2 linked regions of the Lonchura striata genome follow. The protein of the gene in region 1 purifies or fractionates together with the protein of each later gene. This does not show direct contact. Links are inferred from orthologs where the notes say so. Each region holds a gene or a part of one and is shown in the gene's direction. Other genes may lie near its edges.

Region 1 (10,195 bases):
ACTTTGGGGCTGGGCTTATCCCTGTGGCTCCGCCCCTTTGAGATCACAGCCCCCCATTGGGTGGCTCTGACATTTGGCCCCACCCCCTGAGTGACGTCATCACATTCAGACTCCTCCTCTAGCCCCACCCCATGGGAGGCTCCACCCCTTTCCCCTTAGCCCCGCCCCTTTCATTATTCAGACCAAACCCCGCCCCTTTTCATTATTCAGCCCCGCCCCTTTAATTATTCATCCCCAGCCCCACCCCTTTCATTATTCAGCCCCGCCCCTTTAATTATTCATCCCCAGCCCCGCCCCTTTAATTATTCACCCCAGCCCCGCCCCTTTAATTATTCATCCCCAGCCCCGCCCGTTTAATTATTCATCCCAAGCCCCGCCCCTTTAATTATTCACCCCCAGCCCCGCCCCTTTCATTATTCAGCCCCGCCCCTTTCATTATTCACCCCCAGCCCCGCCCCTTTTCATTATTCATCCCCAGCCCCGCCCCTTTCATTATTCATCCCCAGCCCCGCCCCTTTAATTATTCATCCCCAGCCCCGCCCCTTTAATTATTCATCCCCAGCCCCGCCCGTTTAATTATTCATCCCAAGCCCCGCCCCTTTCATTATTCACCCCCAGCCCCGCCCCTTTAATTATTCATCCCCAGCCCCGCCCCTTTCGTTATTCAGCCCCGCCCCTTTAATTATTCATCCCCAGCCCCGCCCCTTTAATTATTCAGCCCCAGCCCCGCCCCTTTTCCAGGAGCCCGTGCGGGAAGGGGCCCCCCCGAGCTGGAAGAAGAAGGAGAAGCTGCCCCAGGTGTCCAAATCCTGGCACAACTTCACCTGCAACGTGAGCGGGGGGCCCGGGGGCGGATCTGGGGGTCCCGGGGGGGATTTCGGGGGGTCCCGAGGGGGATTTGGGGGTCCCGACCCCCTTTTTGGGCTGCCGTTCCCCCAGGAGGTGATCCAGGACTTCCAGGCCTCGGTGCTGCAGGTGTCGGACTCGCCCTACGACGAGCAGTGAGCGCCGGGGCTTTGGGGGGGTTTTTTTGGGGTGAGGGGGTTTTTTTGGGGCGGGGGGACCCCGAAACCCGCCCGTGTCCCCCAGGGTGGCGGCGCAGATGCCCACGGTGCACTACGAGATGCCCAACGGGTACAACACCGACTACGGCGCCGAGCGGCTCCGCATCCCCGAGGGGCTCTTCGACCCCTCCAACGTCAAGGTTCGGGGGTCCCGGGGGGGTTTGGGGGTCCTGGGGGGGCTCTGAGGGGGTTTTGGGGTCCACTGAGGGGGTTTGGGGGTCCTGGGAGGGGCTCTGAGGGGGTTTGGGGGTCCTGGGGGGGCTCTGAGGGGGTTTGGGGGTCCTCTGAGGGGGTTTGGGGGTCCTGGGGGGGCTCTGAGGGGGTTTTGGGGGTCCACTGAGGGGGTTTGGGGGGTCCTGGGGGGGCTCTGAGGGGGTTTTGGGGGTCCTGGGGGGGCTCTGAGGGGGTTTGGGGGTCCTCTGAGGGGGTTTGGGGGTCCTGGGGGGGCTCTGAGGGGGTTTTGGGGTCCTCTGAGGGGGTTTGGGGGTCCTGGGGGGGCTCTGAGGGGGTTTGGGGGTCCTCTGAGGGGGTTTGGGGGTCCTGGGGGGGCTCTGAGGGGGTTTTGAGGGGTCCTGGGGGGGCTCTGAGGGGGTTTTGGGGTCCTCTGAGGGGGTTTGGGGGTCCTGGGAGGGCTCTGAGGGGGTTTGGGGGGTCCTGGGGGGGCTCTGAGGGGGTTTTGGGGGTCCTGGGGGGCTCTGAGGGGGTTTGGGGGTCCTCTGAGGGGGTTTGGGGGTCCTGGGGGGGCTCTGAGGGGGTTTTGGGGTCCTCTGAGGGGGTTTGGGGGTCCTGGGGGGGCTCTGAGGGGGTTTGGGGGTCCTCTGAGGGGGTTTGGGGGTCCTGGGGGGGCTCTGAGGGGGTTTTGAGGGGTCCTGGGGGGCTCTGAGGGGGTTTTGGGGTCCTCTGAGGGGGTTTGGGGGTCCTGGGAGGGCTCTGAGGGGGTTTGGGGGGTCCTGGGGGGGGCTCTGAGGGGGTTTTGGGGGTCCTGGGGGGGCTCTGAGGGGGTTTTGGGGGTCCTGGGGGGGCTCTGAGGGGGTTTTGGGGGTCCTGGGGGGGCTCTGAGGGGGTTTTGGGGGTCCTGGGGGGCTTTAGGGGACCCCCACGCCCCAGGTTCTGCCTTCCTTTGGGTTTGAGGGTTCTCAGCGGGGTTTTTGGGGGGGATCAGGGGGTCTCGGGGGTTTTTGGGGGGGATCATGGGGTCCCGGGGGTTTTTGGGGGGGATCAGGGGGATCCCGGGGGTTTTTGGGGGGGATCAGGGGGTCCCGGGGGTTTTTGGGGGGATCAGGGGGATCCCGGGGGTTTTTGGGGGGGATCAGGGGGTCCCGGGGGTTTTTGGGGGGGATCAGGGGGGTCCCGGGGGTTTTTGGGGGGGTTAGGGAGGTCCCAGAGGGGATCCCAGGGTTTTTGGGGGGTTTAGGGAGGTCCAGGGGGGTCCCGGGGGTTTTGGGGACCCCCCTGACCCCCCCGTTCCCCCAGGGCCTCTCGGGGAACACCATGCTGGGCGTGGGGCACGTGGTGACCACCAGCATCGGGATGTGCGACATCGACATCCGGCCGGTGGGTCCGGGCGGGGGTCCCGGGGGTCCCGGGGGGCGGCGGGGACACCCCCGAATCCCGCGGGTGACCCCCCGTGTCCGTGTCCCCCCCAGGGGCTGTACGGCAGCGTCATTGTCACCGGGGGGAACACGCTGCTGCAGGGCTTCACCGACCGCCTGAACCGCGAGCTGGCCCAGAAAACGCCCCCGGTGAGGCACCCGAATTGGGGCTGGGGGCTGGGGGCTCCCAAACCCCCCGGTGAGGCACCCGAATTGGGGCTGGGGGCTGGGGGCTCCCAAACCCCCCGGTGAGGCACCCGAATTGGGGCTGGGGGCTGGGGGCTCCCAAACCCCCCGGTGAGGGACCCGAATTGGGGCTGGGGGCTCCCAAACCCCCAGTGAGGGACCCGAATTGGGGCTGGGGGCTGGGGGACCCCAAACCCCCCCGTGAGGGACCCCCGAGTTTGGGACCAGTGGTTCATAGCTGTCCCCCCAGTTCTCCCAGTTGCCCCCAGTTCTCCCAGTGCTCCCCAGTTGCCCCCAGTGGTTCATAGCTGTCCCCCCAGTTGTTCCCAGTATTCCCAGTTGCTGTCAGTCATTCCCAGTTGCCCCCAGTCATTCCCAGTTGCCCCCAGTGGTTCATAGCTGTCCCCCCAGTCATTCCCAGTCATTCCCAGTTGCTGTCAGTCATTCCCAGTTGCCCCCAGTCATTCCCAGTTGCCCCCAGTGGTTCATAGCTGTCCCCCCAGTAATTCCCAGTTGCCCCCAGTGGTTCATAGCTGTCCCCCCAGTTGTTCCCAGTCATTCCCAGTTGCTCCCAGTAATTCCTAGTTCCTCCCAGCGGTTCATAGCTGTCCCCCCAGTCATTCCCAGTTGCTCCCAGTCATTCCCAGTTGCCCCCAGTGGTTCATAGCTGTCCCTCCAGTCATTCCCAGTTGCCCCCAGTGGTTCATAGCTGTCCCCCCCAGTTGCTCCCAGTCATTCCAGTTGCTCCCAGTGGTTCATAGCTGTCCCTCCAGTCATTCCCAGTTGCCCCCAGTGGTTCATAGCTGTCCCCCCCAGTTGCTCCCAGTCATTCCAGTTGCTCCCAGTGGTTCATAGCTGTCCCCCCAGTTGCTCCCAGTCATTCCCAGTGGCTCCCAGTGGTTCATAGCTGTCCCCCCAGTTGCTCCCAGTCATTCCCAGTTGCCCCCAGTGGTTCATAGCTGTCCCTCCAGTCATTCCCAGTGGCTCCCAGTCATTCCCAGTTGCCCCCAGTGGTTCATAGCTGTCCCCCCAGTCATTCCCAGTTGCCCCCAGTGGTTCATAGCTGTCCCTCCAGTCATTCCCAGTGGCTCCCAGTGGTTCATAGCTGTCCCCCCAGTTGCCCCCAGTTCTCCCAGTTCTCCCAGTGCTCCCAGTGACGCCCTGTCCCAGAGCATGCGCCTCAAGCTGATCGCCAGCAACAGCACCATGGAGCGGCGCTTCAGCCCCTGGATCGGCGGCTCCATCCTGGCCTCGCTCGTGAGTCGGGGGTCCCGGGGAGCCCGGGGGGCTTCGCTGCCCCTGAACCCCCAAACTGCCCCAAACCATCCCCTGAACCCCCCAAACCATCCCCTGAACCCCCCAAACCATCCCCTGAACCCCCCAAACTGCCCCAAACCATCCCCTGAATCCCCCAAACTGCCCCCTGAACCCCCCAAACCATCCCCTGAACCCCCGAAACCATCCCCTGAACCCCCCAAACTGCCCCCTGAACCCCCCAAACCATCCCCTGAACCCCCCAAACCATCCCCTGAACTCCCCAAACTGCCCCAAACCATCCCCTGAACCCCCCAAACTGCCCCCTGAACCCCCCAAACTGCCCCAAACCATCCCCTGAACCCCCCAAACTGCCGCAAACTGCCCCCTGAACCCCCCAAACTGCCCCCTGAACCCCCCAAACCGCCCCAAACCATCCCCTGAACCCCCCAAACCGCCCCAAACCACCTCAAAGTGCCCCATGAACACCCCAAACTGCCCCAAACCACCCCAAACTGCCTCCTGAACACCCTGAATTGCCCCAATCTGCCCCAAATCACCCCAAACCGCCCCCTGAACCCCCCAAACTGCCTCTGAACCCCCCAAACCATCCCAAACCACCCCAAATCACCCCAAACCGCCCCAAATCGCAGGGCACCTTCCAGCAGATGTGGATCTCCAAGCAGGAGTACGAGGAGGGCGGCAAGCAGTGCGTGGAGCGCAAGTGTCCCTGAGGGGACCCAGAACCCATCGAGAGGGGCTGAGGGGACCCCAAAACCCCATCATGAGGGGGACCCCAAACCCCATCATGAGGGGGACCCCAAAACCCTTCATGAGGGGGTGATGGGGACCCCAAAACCCCATCGAGAGGGGCTGAGGGGACCCCAAAGTCCTTCATGAGGGGCTGAGGGGACCCAGAACCCATCGTGAGGGGCTGAGGGGACCCCAAAACCCCATCATGAGGGGGACCCCAAACCCCATCATGGGGGGGTGATGGGGACCCCAAAACCCCATCTTGAGGGGCTGAGGGGACCCCAAAATCCTTCATGAGGGGGTGATGGGGACCCCAAAACCCCTTCATGAGGGGGACCCCAAACCCCATCATGAGGGGGACCCCAAACCCCTTCATGAGGGGGTGAAGGGGACCCCAAAACCCCATCGAGAGGGGCTGAGGGGACCCCAAACCCCCTTCATGAGGGGGACCCCAAACCCCATCTTGAGGGGGACCCCAAAACCCTTCGTGAGGAGGACCCCAGACCCCTTCATGAGGGGCTGGGTGGGGGGGCCCGTGCGTGGGTGGCGGGGGTCGCTGTGGGCGGGGTTCGTGCCCCGATTTCGGCGTTTTTAGCGCCTCCCTCCCCCCCCCAAAAAAACCCAATAAAATAAAATACAATAAAAAATAAAAAATAAAGAGCGGCTCTTCCCGCGCGCCCGGTCACGTGACCCGCGTGAGGGGTCCCGGGGGGGGGGGGGGGGGGGCGAGGCGCGCGCGCGGCACGTGCCGGGACGGGGGGGGGGGGGGGGGGGGGCGGTACCGCGCAGGCGCGCGGGCGCGTGACCGGCGAGGGGCGCGCGGGACGGGCGCTGGGGGGGCTCGAAACCTCGCGAGAGCCGCGCGAGAGCGCGCGCGCCCCCTCCCCGTTACCGGGGCGGGTGGGGCGGGGAGAGAGAGACCCGGTTCGGTGACGTCACTAACGGGAACGGTGACGTCACGAGCGTGAACGGTGACGTGAGCAGCTCGGCCGAAAGGGGCCGAGGAGAGACCGGCGCTGGAACGGGAGGGGCTCTGTGTGTCTGTGTGGGTGTGGGGAGAAGGAGCGCGCACCGCGCACGAGCGGCCCCCGCGCGGACTACAAGTCCCGGCAGCCCCCGCGCGCGCGGGGCGGCCTCACCCCGCCTGAACGTCTTTCCGGCCGCCCACCCTCCCCCGTCCCATCCCCGCCGCTCTCCCTCCCCCCAGGCCTTCACCGGGATCCCTCCCGCTCCCTCCTCCTCCCCTCCCCCGCTGCTCTCCGCGCAGGCACTCTCCGCGGCCACCCCCACCTCCTGAGGCCCCCCTTTCCCTCTCCCCGCGCGCCGCCTCTCCTTATTGGCCGCCGCGCGCCGCGCTCCGTCTCCTATTGGCCGAGCCCCGTCTCCCCGCCCCTCCTCGTGGGCGTGCCCTCTGCGGGCCCCGCCTCTCCCCTATATAAACCCCGGCGGGCCGGCGCGGCGCTGCCATCGCGGGCGGGAGGCGGCGGGAGCGGAGGGTTCCCGCTCCCCCTCCCCGCTCCGGCGGCGCATGCGCGGGGGCGGCGCGGCGCAGCGCGCAGGCGCGGGCCGGGCCGCCATGGCGGCGGCGCCTGAGGCCTTCCTGGTGCCGCCGCCGCCGCCGCCTCCTCCGCCTCCTCCTCCTCCTCCCGCCGCCGCCGCACCGGAGCCGCCGCGGCCCCGCAATGGCCTCCGCACCGCGGGCGGCGGCGGCAAGCGGCGGAGCAGCTGCGGCGCCAAGCAGCCGGCGTGGAAGCGGCGGCGCCGCGCGGCCTCGGAGTGCGGCCCGGTGCTGCCGTCCGAGTTCCTGCTCGGCGGGAACATCTTCGACCCCCTGAACCTCAACAGCCTGCTGGACGAGGAGGTGAGCCGCGCCCTGAACGCCCGCACGCCGCAGTCCTCCCCGCTGCCGCAGCGCGGCCGGGACCCGGTGGAGATCCTGGTGCCGAGGGACATCACGGACCCGCTGAGCCTGAACGCGCCGGGCGAGGCGCTCCGCCTGGCCTCGCCGGCCAAGAGCGCCCGGCGGCGGCACCGGCACCGCGGCCAGCAGCGCAACAACGCCGCCAACAGCGCCGCCGGCGCCGAGGAGCCCGGCCGCCCCGCCGAGCCCGCCGCCCCGCCGTGCCCCGCCGGCCGCCACCGCAAGCGCCGACGGACTTGCAGCAAATCCGACCCTCCGCGCCCCGCCGCGCCCTCGGAAAAACCGAAACCCGGCGGCAAAGCCCCGCAGCGGCCGCGCCGCCAGGCGCGCAAGTTCCAGTACGGGAATTACTGCAAATATTACGGGTACCGCAACCCCGACGTGGAGGACGCGCGGCTGCGGGCGCTGCGGCCCGAGTGGTTCGCGGGCAAGGAGGTGCTGGACGTGGGCTGCAACGTGGGGCACCTCACCCTGAGCATCGCCAAGCGCTGGGCGCCCGCCAGGGTGGTGGGGCTGGACATTGACGGGCGGCTGATCCGCTCGGCGCGGCAGAACATCCGCCACTACCTCTCCGAGGGGCTGGGGGCGGACGGCGAGGCCGCCGCCGGGCTCAGGAAAGGTTTCCCCGCCGCGCTCCTGGCCAGCCGGGGCCCCATCGCCGCCCCGCAGCTGCCGCCCGACGGGCCCGGCGCCGCGGATTTCCCGCACAACGTGGTGTTCGTCACGGTGAGGGGGGGTTTTGGGTGGGGAAACGGGGGTGGGGTGGGTGGGCGAGGTGCTGGGGGGTGCGAGCAGGGTTTTGGTGTGGGTTTGGGGGGGGTCTGGGTCGCTCTGAGGGGGTTGGCAAGGGATTTTGGTGGGTTTTTGGTGTGTTTTAGGGGGGTCTCGGTGGCGTTAAGGGAGTGACAAGCATTTGGGGGGGCTTGGAGGGGATTTGGGGAGTCTTGGAGAGTCTGAAAGGGACATGAGGGATGTTTTAGGGGGGTCTGGGCGGGTCTGAGGGGGTGTGTGGGGGTTTGGGGGGTTTTGGGAGGTCTTGGAGGCTGTGAAAGGGACGTCAGGGATGTTTTTGGGGGGTCTCGGTGGGTCTGAAGGGGTCACCAGGAGATCAGAGTGGTGCAGGACCCCCTCCCCAATTCCAGTCTTGGGGTCTGTGTGGGGCAGCTCCCCCCAAAACCCCTCAGTGGGGCTGACCCCGAGCCCCCCACCCTGTCAGACCCCCCAAAACCCCTCAGTGGGGCTGACCCCGAGCCCCCCACCCTGTCAGACCCCCCAAAACCCCTCAGTGGGGCACAGCCCGAGCCCCCCACCCTGTCAGACCCCCCAAAACCTCCTCAGTGGGGCTGCCCCCGATCCCCCCACCCTGTCAGACCCCCCAAACCCCCCCAGAGGGGCTGCCCCCGAGCCCCCCACCCTGTCAGACCCCCCAAACCTCCTCAGTGGGGCTGACCCCGAGCCCCCCACCCTGTCAGACCCCCCAAACCTCCTCAGTGGGGCACAGCCCAAGCCCCCCACCCCCTCAGACACCCCCAAAACCTCCTCAGTGGGGCACAGCCCGAGCCCCCCACCCCCTCAGACACCCCCAAACCCCCCAAGAGGGGCTGACCCCGAGCCCCCCACTCCCTCAGACCCCCCAAAACCCCTCAGTGGGGCTGCCCCCGAGCCCCCCACCCTGTCAGACCCCCCAAAACCCCACAGTGGGGCACAGCCCGAGCCCCCCACCCTGTCAGACCCCCAAAACCCCTCAGTGGGGCTGCCCCCGAGCCCCCCACCCTGTCAGACCCCCCAAACCTCTTCAGTGGGGCTGACCCCGAGCCCCCCACCCTGTCAGACCCCCCAAACCTCTTCAGTGGGGCTGACCCCGAGCCCCCCACCCTGTCAGACCCCCCAAACCTCCTCAGTGGGGCACAGCCCAAGCCCCCCACCCCCTCAGACACCCCCAAAACCCCTCAGTGGGGCTGACCCCGAGCCCCTCAGACCCCCCCAAACCTCCTCAGTGGGGCACAGCCCGAGCCCCCCACCCCCTCAGACACCCCCAAACCCCCCAAGAGGGGCTGACCCCGAGCCCCCCACCCCCTCAGACCCCCCAAAACCCCTCAGTGGGGCTGACCCCGAGCCCCCCACCCTGTCAGACCCCCAAAACCTCCTCAGTGGGGCTGACCCCGAGCCCCCCACCCTGTCAGACCCCCCAAACCCCCCCGGGGCTGCCCCCAGCCCCAGGCTGAGCCCACCCCTCCGCAGGGGAACTACGTGCCGGAGCGGGAGGAGGTGGTGGGGGCGCAGCGCCCCGAGTTCGACGTGGTGCTGCTGCTGTCCCTCACCAAGTGGGTGCAGCTCAACTGGGGCGACGAGGGGCTCAAGCGGCTCTTCCGGAGGGCGTTCCGGCACCTGCGGCCCGGCGGGCTGCTGCTGCTGGAGCCGCAGCCCTGGGAGTCCTACCGCAAGCGCAAGGGGCTGACGGTGAGTGGGGGGCTCTGGGGGGCTCAGGGATGGGGTTTGGGGGCTCTGAGGGGCTCCACGGGGCTCTGGGGGGGCTTTGGGGGGCTCCTGCTGCTGCTGGAGCCGCAGCCCTGGGAGTCCTGCCACAAGCGCAAGGGGCTGACGGTGAGTGGGGGGCTCAGGGATGGGGTTTGGGGGCTCTGAGGGGCTCCACGGGGCTCTGGGGGTCTCAGGGATGGGGTTTGGGGACTCCATGGGACTCTGGGGGGGCTTTGGGGGGCTCCGTGGGGCTCAGGGATGGGGTCTGGGGGCTCTGAGGGGCTCCAGGGGACTCTGGGGGGGCTTTGGGGGGCTCCACGGGGCTCTGGTGAGTCTTTGGAGGGCTCAGGGGGTCTCAGGGATGGGGTCTGGGGGCTCCATGGGACTCTGGGGGGGCTTTGGAGGGCTCCGTGGGGCTCAGGGATGGGGTTTGGGGGCTCTTGAGGGGCTCCACGGGGCTCTGGGGGGGCTTTGGGGGTCTCAGGGATGGGGTTTGGGGGCTCTTGGGGGCTCCACGGGGCTCTGGGGGTCTCAGGGATGGGGTCTGGGGGCTCTGAGGGGCTCCATGGGACTCTGGGGGGGCTCTGGGGGGCTCCACGGGGCTCTGGGGGGGCTTTGGGGGGCTCAGGGGGTCTCAGGGATGGGGTCTGGGGGCTCCACAGGGCTCTGGGGGGCTCCATGGGACTTTGGGGGGCTCCATGGGGCTCAGGGAGGGGGTCTCTGGGGGGTTATGAAGGGGTCTGTGGGGACGTCTGGAGAGTTTGGGGCCAGAAACGGCGTTTTTGGCAGGTTGAAACATCAAAAAATGGTGTTTGGAGGGACTCTCACCAGAGCTTGGGGCCAGAAATTGAATTATGGGGATTTAAAACCCCAAAAAATGGTTTTTGGAGGGACACTCAGCAGAGTTTGGTGCTGGAAATGCGTTTTTGGGGGGTTAAAACCCCAGA
Region 2 (9,808 bases), on another chromosome or scaffold:
CCACAGCCTCGGGAGCTGCGGATCCCTGTGGGCAGGTGAGAGCTGGGGGTCCTGGGTGGGTTTGGGGGGGTCCAGGGTGGGTTTGGGGGGTCCTGGGTGGGTTTGGGGGTCCCAGGCCCCCCATGAGGAAACCCCCACGTGTCTGACCCCCCCGGCTGGGCCCAGGACCTGCAAAGGTGGAACCCCCTGGAGCCCCCGGGGGGAGAGGAGGACAGAGAGTCCCAGCAGGGACGGTCTGAGGGGGCCTGCAGGGCTTTGGGGGGATTCTGTGGGATTTTGGGTGTCAGAACTCAACACTGACCCTCCCCTGTTTCCGTTCCAGGGTCCAACCCAGTCCTGCCCCCTCGGGGGTCCATAGATGGGGGACCCCAACCCCCAGAGGGGAATTTGGGGGGTTTTGGAGCCAGTCTGTGAATCCTGAGAAGATCCCAGGTAAATCCTCACCTGGAGGGGGAATTGTTCACTGGGGTGGGGGTCCCTGGGCTGGGACCCCCATTGGGGTGACCCCTGCAGGGACGATTTGGGGTAAATTTGGGGCTTTCCTGGTGATTTTGGGGTGTGGAGGCCCCCCAGGGGTGATGACCTCATGAATCTCGTTCGGCTGAAGCTGCTGCTGACAACCCCAGGCCTGACCGGGGGGGGCTTTTCCCCCTTATGGGGTCCCCAAATTCCCCGAGGACCCCCCTGACCCCCCTTGTGTTCCCTCCCTGCAGGTGACAATCCCAGGACACACCTGGAGCCAGGTATGTAAATGAGGGGGTGTGGCCTGACCCATGACATCACAGCCCCAGTTTTGGTGATGATGTCACTAGCTCACTTTGACCCCCCTGAAAACACCTGAACACCTGAAAAATTGGGGTGGGGGTCCCCGGGGGGGTCCTGGGGGGGAGGGGGCGCCCTAAAGCCCCTCCCCCCCTGCTGTCCCACAGGTGCGGCAGGAGCGGGGCTCAGGTGAGCCTGGGGGGGATTTTGGGGAGCGGGGAGGAGATTTGGGGTGTTGGGAGGGATTTGGGATTTCAGATTTTGAGCTTTGGAGAGCGGATTTGGGGTGTGGGTTTCAAATTCTATTTTGTGGGGAAGGGATTTGGGATTTACAAAACCATTTTGAGGTTTGGGGAGGAGATTTGGGATTTTGAGAGTCGATTTAGGGTGTGGAGAGGGATTTTGGAGAGTGGAGAAAGGATTTGGGGCTGTGAAGAGAAGACGTTGTGGTGAGGAACTTTGAGGTTTGGGGAGAAGATTTGGGGGGAGTTTTGAGGAAAGGATTTTGGGATGGTGAGGGGCCTCTGGGGGTTTGGCAGGAGGGATTTGGGGGACAGGATTTTGGGATTTAGGAGAGATTTGGGGTGTTTTTGGGGTCTCCCTGCCGAGGATGAGGCGATACCGCCCCAGACTGAGCCCTGTGACTGAGTGGTTCCCCCTGAGGCTCTGGGGGACCCCGGGGGTTTTGGGGGGTCCCAATGGGGGCTTGGGGGTCTCCTGGGTTCGGAACAGATTTTGGGTGATTTTTGAGGAGTTTGAAACCTTTTAACCCTTGAATTTCTTCCTGCAGTTCTTGGATCGTGGAAGTTCTACCAACATAAATAAAAACTGCTATTTTTGTTAAAAACATTGAATTTCTGCTTGTTTCTTATTTGGGGAGGAGGGACTGAGGGTGAGGGAATTGCGGAGGGGGGTCACACCTGAGCCCCTCTATGCTTTTAAAGGCTACAAAAACATCTCAGGAAGCCAAAATTCCGAATTTAAACTCATTTTTTGGATGATTTTGATAATTTCCAGGTCTCCTGTGCCCCAAAACCCCCCGGGCATGGAGGGGAGCCTCCCAAAGCTCCCCCAAACCCGCGGCGTCACCGTGGGGACCTGCTGGGGTGTTCTATGCAAATGAGAATGCTTATATGCTAATTGCACATGACGTAGCTTAAGGTTATGCTAATTGCGTTGGCGTCATGGCAAATAAGGCGCATGGCATGCAAATCGAGGTGCTCGATCGTCCAATCACATCACCAGAGGAACGCGGTGGGGCGGGGCTTCTAAGCGCAGGTGAAAGGCGGTGTTATGTAAATTGAAAAGGCGGGACAATGCAAATTAATCACAATGTTCAGCCAAGAGCATCATGGGAGCATAAATTTGGGGAGATTTTCGGGATTTTAGGGGTCCGTGTGTGAGAAGCGCGGGAGGGAAGCGCGGGACGGGGCGGGGAAGGCGGCCGGGAGCGGGGCCGGGCGGGGCGGCGGCGGCGCGGGGGTGTCCGTGAGGTGCGGGCGGGGCCGGTGCGGGTCCGGCGCGGGGCCGGGGCGGGGTCCGGTATCGCTTCTCGGCCTTTTGGCTAAGATCAAGTGTAGTATCTGTTCTTATCAGTTTAATATCTGATACGTCCTCGATGAGAGGACTTCATATTAAACGGATTTTTGGGCTCGGGAGTTGGACCCGGAGCTTGCTCCCTCCGCTCCGCGCATCGTGCCGGTATTGCAGTGCCTCCGGGAACGGTGCACCCCTCGGGGACCTGTGACGGTGAACAGCAGATGAGGAGATGCTTCGGGCGCGGCTCTGCGGCGGCAGCAGCCGCAGCGTCCCGGGATCGCGGCGCCTCCGGGAGCGGCGCGCCCGCCGGGAGCGTCACACGGTGGAAACTCACGATCGTGATTCCATCGCGATTGTCCCTTGGTGTCACCCCCAGCCGACGGGGACATCCCGGGGAACCGAGGGGCGGCACCCCACAGACCCCGGGACCCCCGCGTGTTTTGGGCAGGAGTGGAATTTGGGGGATCCCCCCCAGCCCCGTCGGGACCCCGCGGGTGTCACCGCCTGTCACCCTCCCGGTGAGCCCGGGGACACCCCGGTGCCCCGGGGGGGATTCGGGCTCCCCCCGGATCTGGGAGGGGTCCCCGACCCCCCCACACGCACTCGGGACAGGTTTTGGGGCGCTCGGAGCCGTTTCGGGGTTCGGGGTTCGGGATTTGGGTCAGGAGGGGCCGATTTGGGGCTTTTGGGGTCCCGCTGCCGCCCAGCCCCGAGCGCCTTGAGGGGAACGCGGGACCCCAATGGCGGCAGCGGCGGCGGCGGGGGGAATGCAAATGAGCGGGCGAAATTACCCTATTAGAGACGAGAGGCGGGGTTATGCTAATCACCAGCCGGCTGGAAAAGAGGCGGTGCCAATGCAAATAAAGCGGCGCAATCGGCCAATCACCATGCGAGGCGGGAATAATGGAGTGGGCGGGGCTATAAAACCACACTGCGAGTTTATTTGCATAAAGGGGCGGGGCTATGCACATTAACTGAACTTCCTCACAGCCGCGCAATGCATATTGGGAGCATTTTTTGGGAGATTTTTGGGATTTTAGGGGTCGCAAGGTGCCGGACCCGGGAGGGAAGCGCGGGATGGGACGGGGAAGGCGGCCGGGAGCGGGGCGGGCGCGGGGGAACCGAGGGGCGGCACCCCACAGACCCCGGGACCCCCGCGTGTTTGGGGCAGGGATGGAATTTGGGGGATCCCCCCCCAGCCCCGTCGGGACCCCGCGGGTGTCACCCCCTGTCACCCTCCCGGTGAGCCCGGGGACACCCCGGTGCCCCGGAGGGGATTCGGGCTCCCCCCGGATCTGGAAGGGGTCCCCGACCCCCCCCCACGCACCCGGGACAGGTTTTGGGGCGCTCGGAGCCGTTTCGGGGTTCGGGGTTCGGGATTTGGGTCAGGAGGGGCCGATTTGGGGCTTTTGGGGTCCCGCTGCCGCCCAGCCCCGAGCGCCTTGAGGGGAACGCGGGACCCCAATGGCGGCAGCGGCGGGGAGAATGCAAATGAGCGGGCGAAATTACCATATTAACGACGAAAGGCGGGGTTATGCTAATCATCCGCCTGCTGGAAAGGAGGCGGTGCCAATGCACATACAGCGGCGCGGGCGGCCAATCACAAAGCGAGGCGGGAAAAAATGCGATGGGCGGGGCTATGAAGCCACTATGCGATGCTATTTGCATAAAGGGGCGCGGTTATGCACATTTCCTGAGTCGCCACGCGCGCAGTGCATGCTGGGACGATTTTTTGGGGAGATTTTCGGGATTTTAGGGGCCGGTACGCGCCGAACGCGGGAGGGAAGCGCGGGACGGGGCGGGGAAGGCGGCCGGGAGCGGGGCCGGGCGGGGCGGCGGCGGCGCGGGGGTGTCCGTGAGGTGCGGGCGGGGCCGGTGCGCGGCCGGCGCGGGGCCGGAGCGGGATCCGGTATCGCTTCTCGGCCTTTTGGCTAAGATCAAGTGTAGTATCTGTTCTTATCAGTTTAATATCTGATACGTCCTCGATGAGAGGACTTCATATTAAACGGATTTTTGGGCTCGGGAGTTGGACCCGGAGCTTGCTCCCTCCGCTCCGCGCATCGTGCCGGTATTGCAGTGCCTCCGGGAACGGTGCACCCCTCGGGGACCTGTGCCGGTGAACAGCAGATGAGATGATCACAATCGCGGTTCCGTGGCGGCAGCAGCCTCGGCGCCTCCGGGAGCGGCGCGCCCGCCCGGTTCTGTTGTTGTAGATCAATAAATGCAGACCGCTCTGAGGGCTCGTGCCGGTTCTCCGGCCCCGGTTCGGTACCGGATCCGCCCCGCGGGAGCCCCGGGGCTCCGCTCCGCCCGTCGCGCCGCGAAATGGCGGCGCCTGCCCCTTCCTGAGGTTCAACTCCATCATTTCGGCGCTTTCCGGGTGAAAGCGGGGCTTGACGAGAATGATAATAAGTGTTAACGATGCTTAAAGAACGTACAAGGCGGTTTGAAGGGTTTTATTAAATGAATCAGTGAATTCACAACAGCGATAACGGGCGGGGGGGGCCACACGTTTCCTGGGGGAAACGCCTCCCACTCTCCGCCTCCGCGCTTCTTCCTCGCCGGGTTTCGTTTTTAAACGAAATAAATCTCGTTTATTTTCTGTATTTTAGGCGTTTTTAACCATTTTCCCGCGCCGGCGGCCCCGCTCGTCCCGCTTCACGCAGCAAAACAAAATGGCGGCGGGCGGGCGGGCGGGAAACTGCGCGTCAGGCGAGCGCCCCCCCCCCCCCCCCCCGCCAATCTTCACCCTCAGCCGCCAATCGGAGCGCGGCTTTTTCGCCGTCGCTGGGCAGAACAGAGCGGCCGCGGCCAATTAGAAAATCCGAGCGGCGTGGCGCGGCCGCTCGGAGGGAAGGGAGGGGAAGAGGCGCAAGAAGGGAAGAGGGGAAGAGGCGCCGCCGCCACATCGGGAGCGAGCGTTGCGCACGTAGGTGGGGCCGAGGGGGAAAGGGAGGGGAGAGCGGCGCGCGGCACGGCGCCTGCGCGCGGCGCGCGCCGCCCTTCCCGCGCACGCGCCGCGCCTGCGCCGTGAGGCGGCGCGGGAGGGGCCGGGCGGCGGCGCAGGCGCGGCTGAGGCGGCGGCGGCGGCGGCGGCGGCGGGAGCGGGACGGGCCCGGCGATCGCTCCGCGCTCCGGCCGCCCCCTGCCCTCCCTGCGGCGCTCCCGCGCGGCGCTCCCGCCTCGCGCTCTCGCTCGCTTCTCCCGCTCCCCGCTCCCCGTCCCTTCTCCGCCCCCTTCCTTCCGCCCCTGCCCTCCCCTCAGTCTCCGCCCCGCGGCCGCCTCAGGCCCGGCCCGGCCTCGCGCTCCGGCCTCGCCGCCGCCGCCGCCTCGGCGCGCCCGCGCTCCTTGCGCTTCCCTTCCCCTCCGTGCCCTCGCCCCCCGGCCCGTTCCCCGCGCGGCGGCCCCGCCATGGACGTGAAGCGGCTGAAGGTGACCGAGCTGCGGGCCGAGCTGGGCCGGCGCGGCCTGGACGCGCGCGGGCTGAAGGTGGAGCTGGCGCAGCGGCTGCAGGAGGCGCTGGACGCGGAGATGTTGGCGGCGGGGCCCGAGGAGGGCGGCGGCGGCGGCGGCGGCGGAGGAGGAGGAGGCGGCGGAGGAGCAGCGGCCGCCTCGAGCGGCGCCGCGGGGGAAGCGGGGCCGGCCGGAGGCCCCGGCGGGCGGCCCCGCGGAGAGGAGGAGGAGGAGGAGGAGGAGGAAGAGGAGGAGGAGGAGGAGGAGGAGGAGGAGGATGAAGAAGCGCTGCTCGCCGATGAGGACGAGGCGGCCGCCGCCGCCAGCGCGGCCCCCGAAGCGGCGGCCCCGGCCCCGGCCGGCCCCCCCCGGGAGGAGGAGGAGGAGGAGGAGGAGGAGGAGGAAGAGGCGGCCCCGGCCGAGCCCGCGGGGCCGGAGCCGCAGGAGCCGCAGGAGCCGCAGGAGCAGCAGGAGCAGCAGGAGCAGCAGGAGGCGGCGGCCGAGGCGGGAGCAGCAGCAGCAGCAGCAGCAGCAGCAGGAGGAGGAAGCGGCGGCGTGAACGGCGCCGAGCGGCCGCCCGAGGAGGCGCCCAGCGGGGATGAAGCGGCCCCGGCCGAGGCCAAGGAGGAGGAGGCGGCGGGTGAGCGGCGGGGACGGGAAGGGAGCCCCGGGAACGGGAGAGGAACAACGGGAACGGGAACGGGAGAGGAACAACGGGAACGGGAACGGGAGAGGAACAACGGGAACGGGAACGGGAGAGGAACAACGGGAACGGGAGCCCGGGAATGGGAAAGGAACCCTGGGAACAGGAACGGGATCCTCGGGAGCGATCCCCGGGAACGGGAGAGGAACAACGGGAACGGGAACGGGAGCCTTGGGAGCGATCCCCGGGAACGGGAAAGGAACACCGGGAACGAGAGCCCGGGAATGGGAAAGGGAACCGGGAACCGGGAACGAGACCCCGGGATCCTCGGGAGAGAGCCCCGGGAATGGGAGAGGAGCACCGGGAATGGGAAAGGAACCCCGGGAACGGGAACGGGAGAGGAACCCCGGGAACGAGAGCCCCGGGAACGGGAAAGGAGCACAGGGAATGGGAAAGGGAACCGGGAATGGGAAACGAGCCCCGGGAACGGGAAAGGAGCACCGGGAACCGGGAACGAGACCCCGGGAGACTCGGGAGCGATCCCCGGGAACGGGAACGGGAAAGGAACCCCGGGTACCGGGAACGAGACCCCGGCATGCTCGGGAGAGGAGCCCCGGGACCGGGAAAAGAGCCCCGGGATCCTCGGGAGGGATGAACGGGAACGGGACCCCGAGAATGAGAAAGGAACACCGGGAACCGGGAACGGGATCCTTGGGAGCGATCCCCGGGAACGGGAGAGGAACCCCCAGAACCGGGATAGAAACTCTGGGACCGGGAAAAGAAACCCCGGGACCGGGAAAGGAGCCCCGGGATCCTCGGGAGGGATGAACGGGAACGGGACCCCCGGGACCGGGATAAGAAACCCCCAGAACCGGGAAAGGAGCCCCGGGAGGGGCCCGCAAAGCTCGGGAGGGATCCCCAAAAATCGGGATAAAAACCGGGAAAGGCTCCGGGAGGGATCCCGAAAACTGGGATAAAAAACCCAAAATTGGGATAAAATCAGGATAAAATCTCATTTCCCACTAGAAAAATTGGGGATTTGGGGAAATTGGGGAAAACCATGAGGGGAAAAGTCCAGGTTTTTAAGGGATAAATTTGGGATGTGAGAAAATTCAGCTTTGGGAGGGAAAAATTCTGATTTTGGAGGGAAAATGTAGATTTTTGAGGGGAAATGTGGATTTTTGGAGAGAAAATCTGGATTTTTTTGAGGGAAAAAACTGGATTTTTTAAAGGGAAAATCCTGGCTTTTGATGGAAAATAGTGAATTTTTGATGGGAAAATCCTGGGATTTGAGGAAAAAAATTCTCATTTTGAAGGAAATAATCTGATTTTTGATGGGAAAAATCTGATTTGGGGAGGATTTGTAGAGCTTGGATCACCATGGGACGTAATTTTATTGGGAATAAAATGAAATTATTTGCATTTTGTCCCAAACTTTGATTTTTTTGGGATAAGAGCTGGAAAATTTCCATTGCAGGACATTGAGAAAATATAACTTGGATTTTCTGGGAATATTTGCACTTGTTGGATTTTTGGGGATTTTTTTGGCCAAGCAAAGGGAAAAACTGAGAATTTTTTGTGTTTCCTTGGATTTTCCTGTTGGATTTTTTCTTTTTTTTTTCCTTTGGATTTTCCAGTTTTTAGTGAACCAATGGATTTTGAGCCGGAATTTTATCTTTTTCGTGAAAAATCCCAGGGGAATTTGACTTTTTTTTGAGGAAAATTCATTCAAACCCCAAGAATTTCACAAAATTTAATTCATTTTTAAGGAAAAAAATAAGAATTTTACGCACTTTTCACGACTCTAAAAACTGGGAAAATCCAAAATCTTAATGGAAAGCTTTGATTGAAGGAATTTTTGAGGAAAAAAATCTGAATTTTAACGGCATTTCATCCTTCAAATCCTGGAGAAATCCATTAAAGCTCCAAGATTTTAATGGAAGACTCAGCTTTAATTTGATGTTTAAGGGGGAAAAAAAGAAATTTCAACCGGTTTTTGTCCCTGCAAATCTGAAATTTCGTTAAAATTCCCAAATTTCCCAGGAATTTTTGATTTAATTTACTTTGAGGAGATTTTAATCTTTCTAAAACCAAAAATTCCCGTTAAACCTTTGCCATTCTCATGGAATATTTGGTTTAAATTCAACTTTTAACAAAAAAACCCAAATACATCTGAATTTTAACCGTTTTTTTTCCAGGAAATTGGGTTTCTTGGGAATAGCTGAGATATTTTGGGGTGAAATCAGTAAAATTAGGGATTTTTTTTGGTCTGAAATCAGTAAAATCACGGATTTTTTGCAGTGAAATCAGTAAAATTGGGGATTTTTGGGATGAAATTTGTAAAATCAGTAAAATTGGCTTTTTTGGGGTAAAATCGGTTTTTTTTCAGGGTGAAATCAGTAAAATCAGGATTTTTTGGAATGTCTTGGGATAAAATCAGGGATTTTTTGGGATTAAATAAGTAAAATAATGATCTTTTGGGGGTGAAATCAGTAAAATCAGGGATTTTTGGGGATGCTTTGGGATAAAATCAGGGATTTTTTTGGGTAAAATTGGTGAAATCAGTAAAATCAGGGATTTTTGGGGTAAAATCAGGGATTTTGGGAGGTTAAATCATTAAAATCTGGGATATTTTTGGGGTGAATTCGGTAAAATCAGGGATTTTTGGGGTAAAATCAGGGATCTTTTGGGGCTGTGTTGGGGTAAAATCAGGGATATTTTGGAATAAAATCAGGGATCTTCTGGGGTGAAATCTGGGATACTTTAGAGTGAAACCAGGGGTTTTTTGGGGTTAAACTGGGGCTGGTTTGGGTTAAACCCAGTTGGTTTGGGTTAAACCCGGCCTGCTTTGGGGCTGGTTTGGGTTAACCCGGGTTGTTTTGGGGCTGGTTTGGGTTAAACCAGGCCTGGTCTGGGTTAACCCGGGTTGGTTTGGAGCTGGTCTGGGTTAAACCCAGGCTGGTTTGGGCTGGTTTGGGTTAAACCCGGGTTGGTTTGGGGCTGGTCTGGGTTAACCCGGGTTGTTTTGGGGCTGGTCTGGGTTAACCCGGGTTGTTTTGGGGCTGGTTTGGGGTGGTTTGGGTTAACCCAGGCTGGTTTGGGGCTAGTTTGGGCTGGTTTGGGTTGATCCAGGCCTGGTGTGGGTTAACCCGCCTGTCCTGCCTGTCCAGGTGAGGAGGAGGAGGACAAGGCCAGGGCTGGTTTGGGTTAAACTCGGGCTGTTTTGGGGCTGGTTTGGGCTGGTTTGGGCTGGTTTGGGTTAACCCAGGCTGGTTTGGGGCTGGTTTGGGCTGGTTTGGGTTAACCCAGGCTGTTTTGGGGCTGGTTTGGGCTGGTTTGGGCTGGTTTGGGTTAACCCAGGCTGGTTTGGGTTGATCCAGGCCTGGTGTGGGTTAACCCGCCTGTCCTGCC

What was found.
Region 2: the proteins of MEPCE (region 1) and HNRNPUL2 purify together in Homo sapiens (affinity purification with mass spectrometry; 3 studies listed by BioGRID and IntAct, with this or other methods). This does not show direct contact. The link is inferred for Lonchura striata from reciprocal best matches to the Homo sapiens genes MEPCE and HNRNPUL2.

The regions. Positions count from the first base shown.
Region 1 is NC_134636.1:1,370,370-1,380,564, reverse strand, and holds the start of MEPCE (7SK snRNA methylphosphate capping enzyme), read left to right. Parts: upstream 1-6,425; coding exon 6,426-7,496; intron 7,497-9,011; coding exon 9,012-9,230; intron 9,231-10,195. UniProt on the Homo sapiens protein: S-adenosyl-L-methionine-dependent methyltransferase that adds a methylphosphate cap at the 5'-end of 7SK snRNA (7SK RNA), leading to stabilize it.
Region 2 is NC_134638.1:166,915-176,722, reverse strand, and holds the start of HNRNPUL2 (heterogeneous nuclear ribonucleoprotein U-like protein 2), read left to right. Parts: upstream 1-5,588; 5' UTR 5,589-5,712; coding exon 5,713-6,394; intron 6,395-9,808.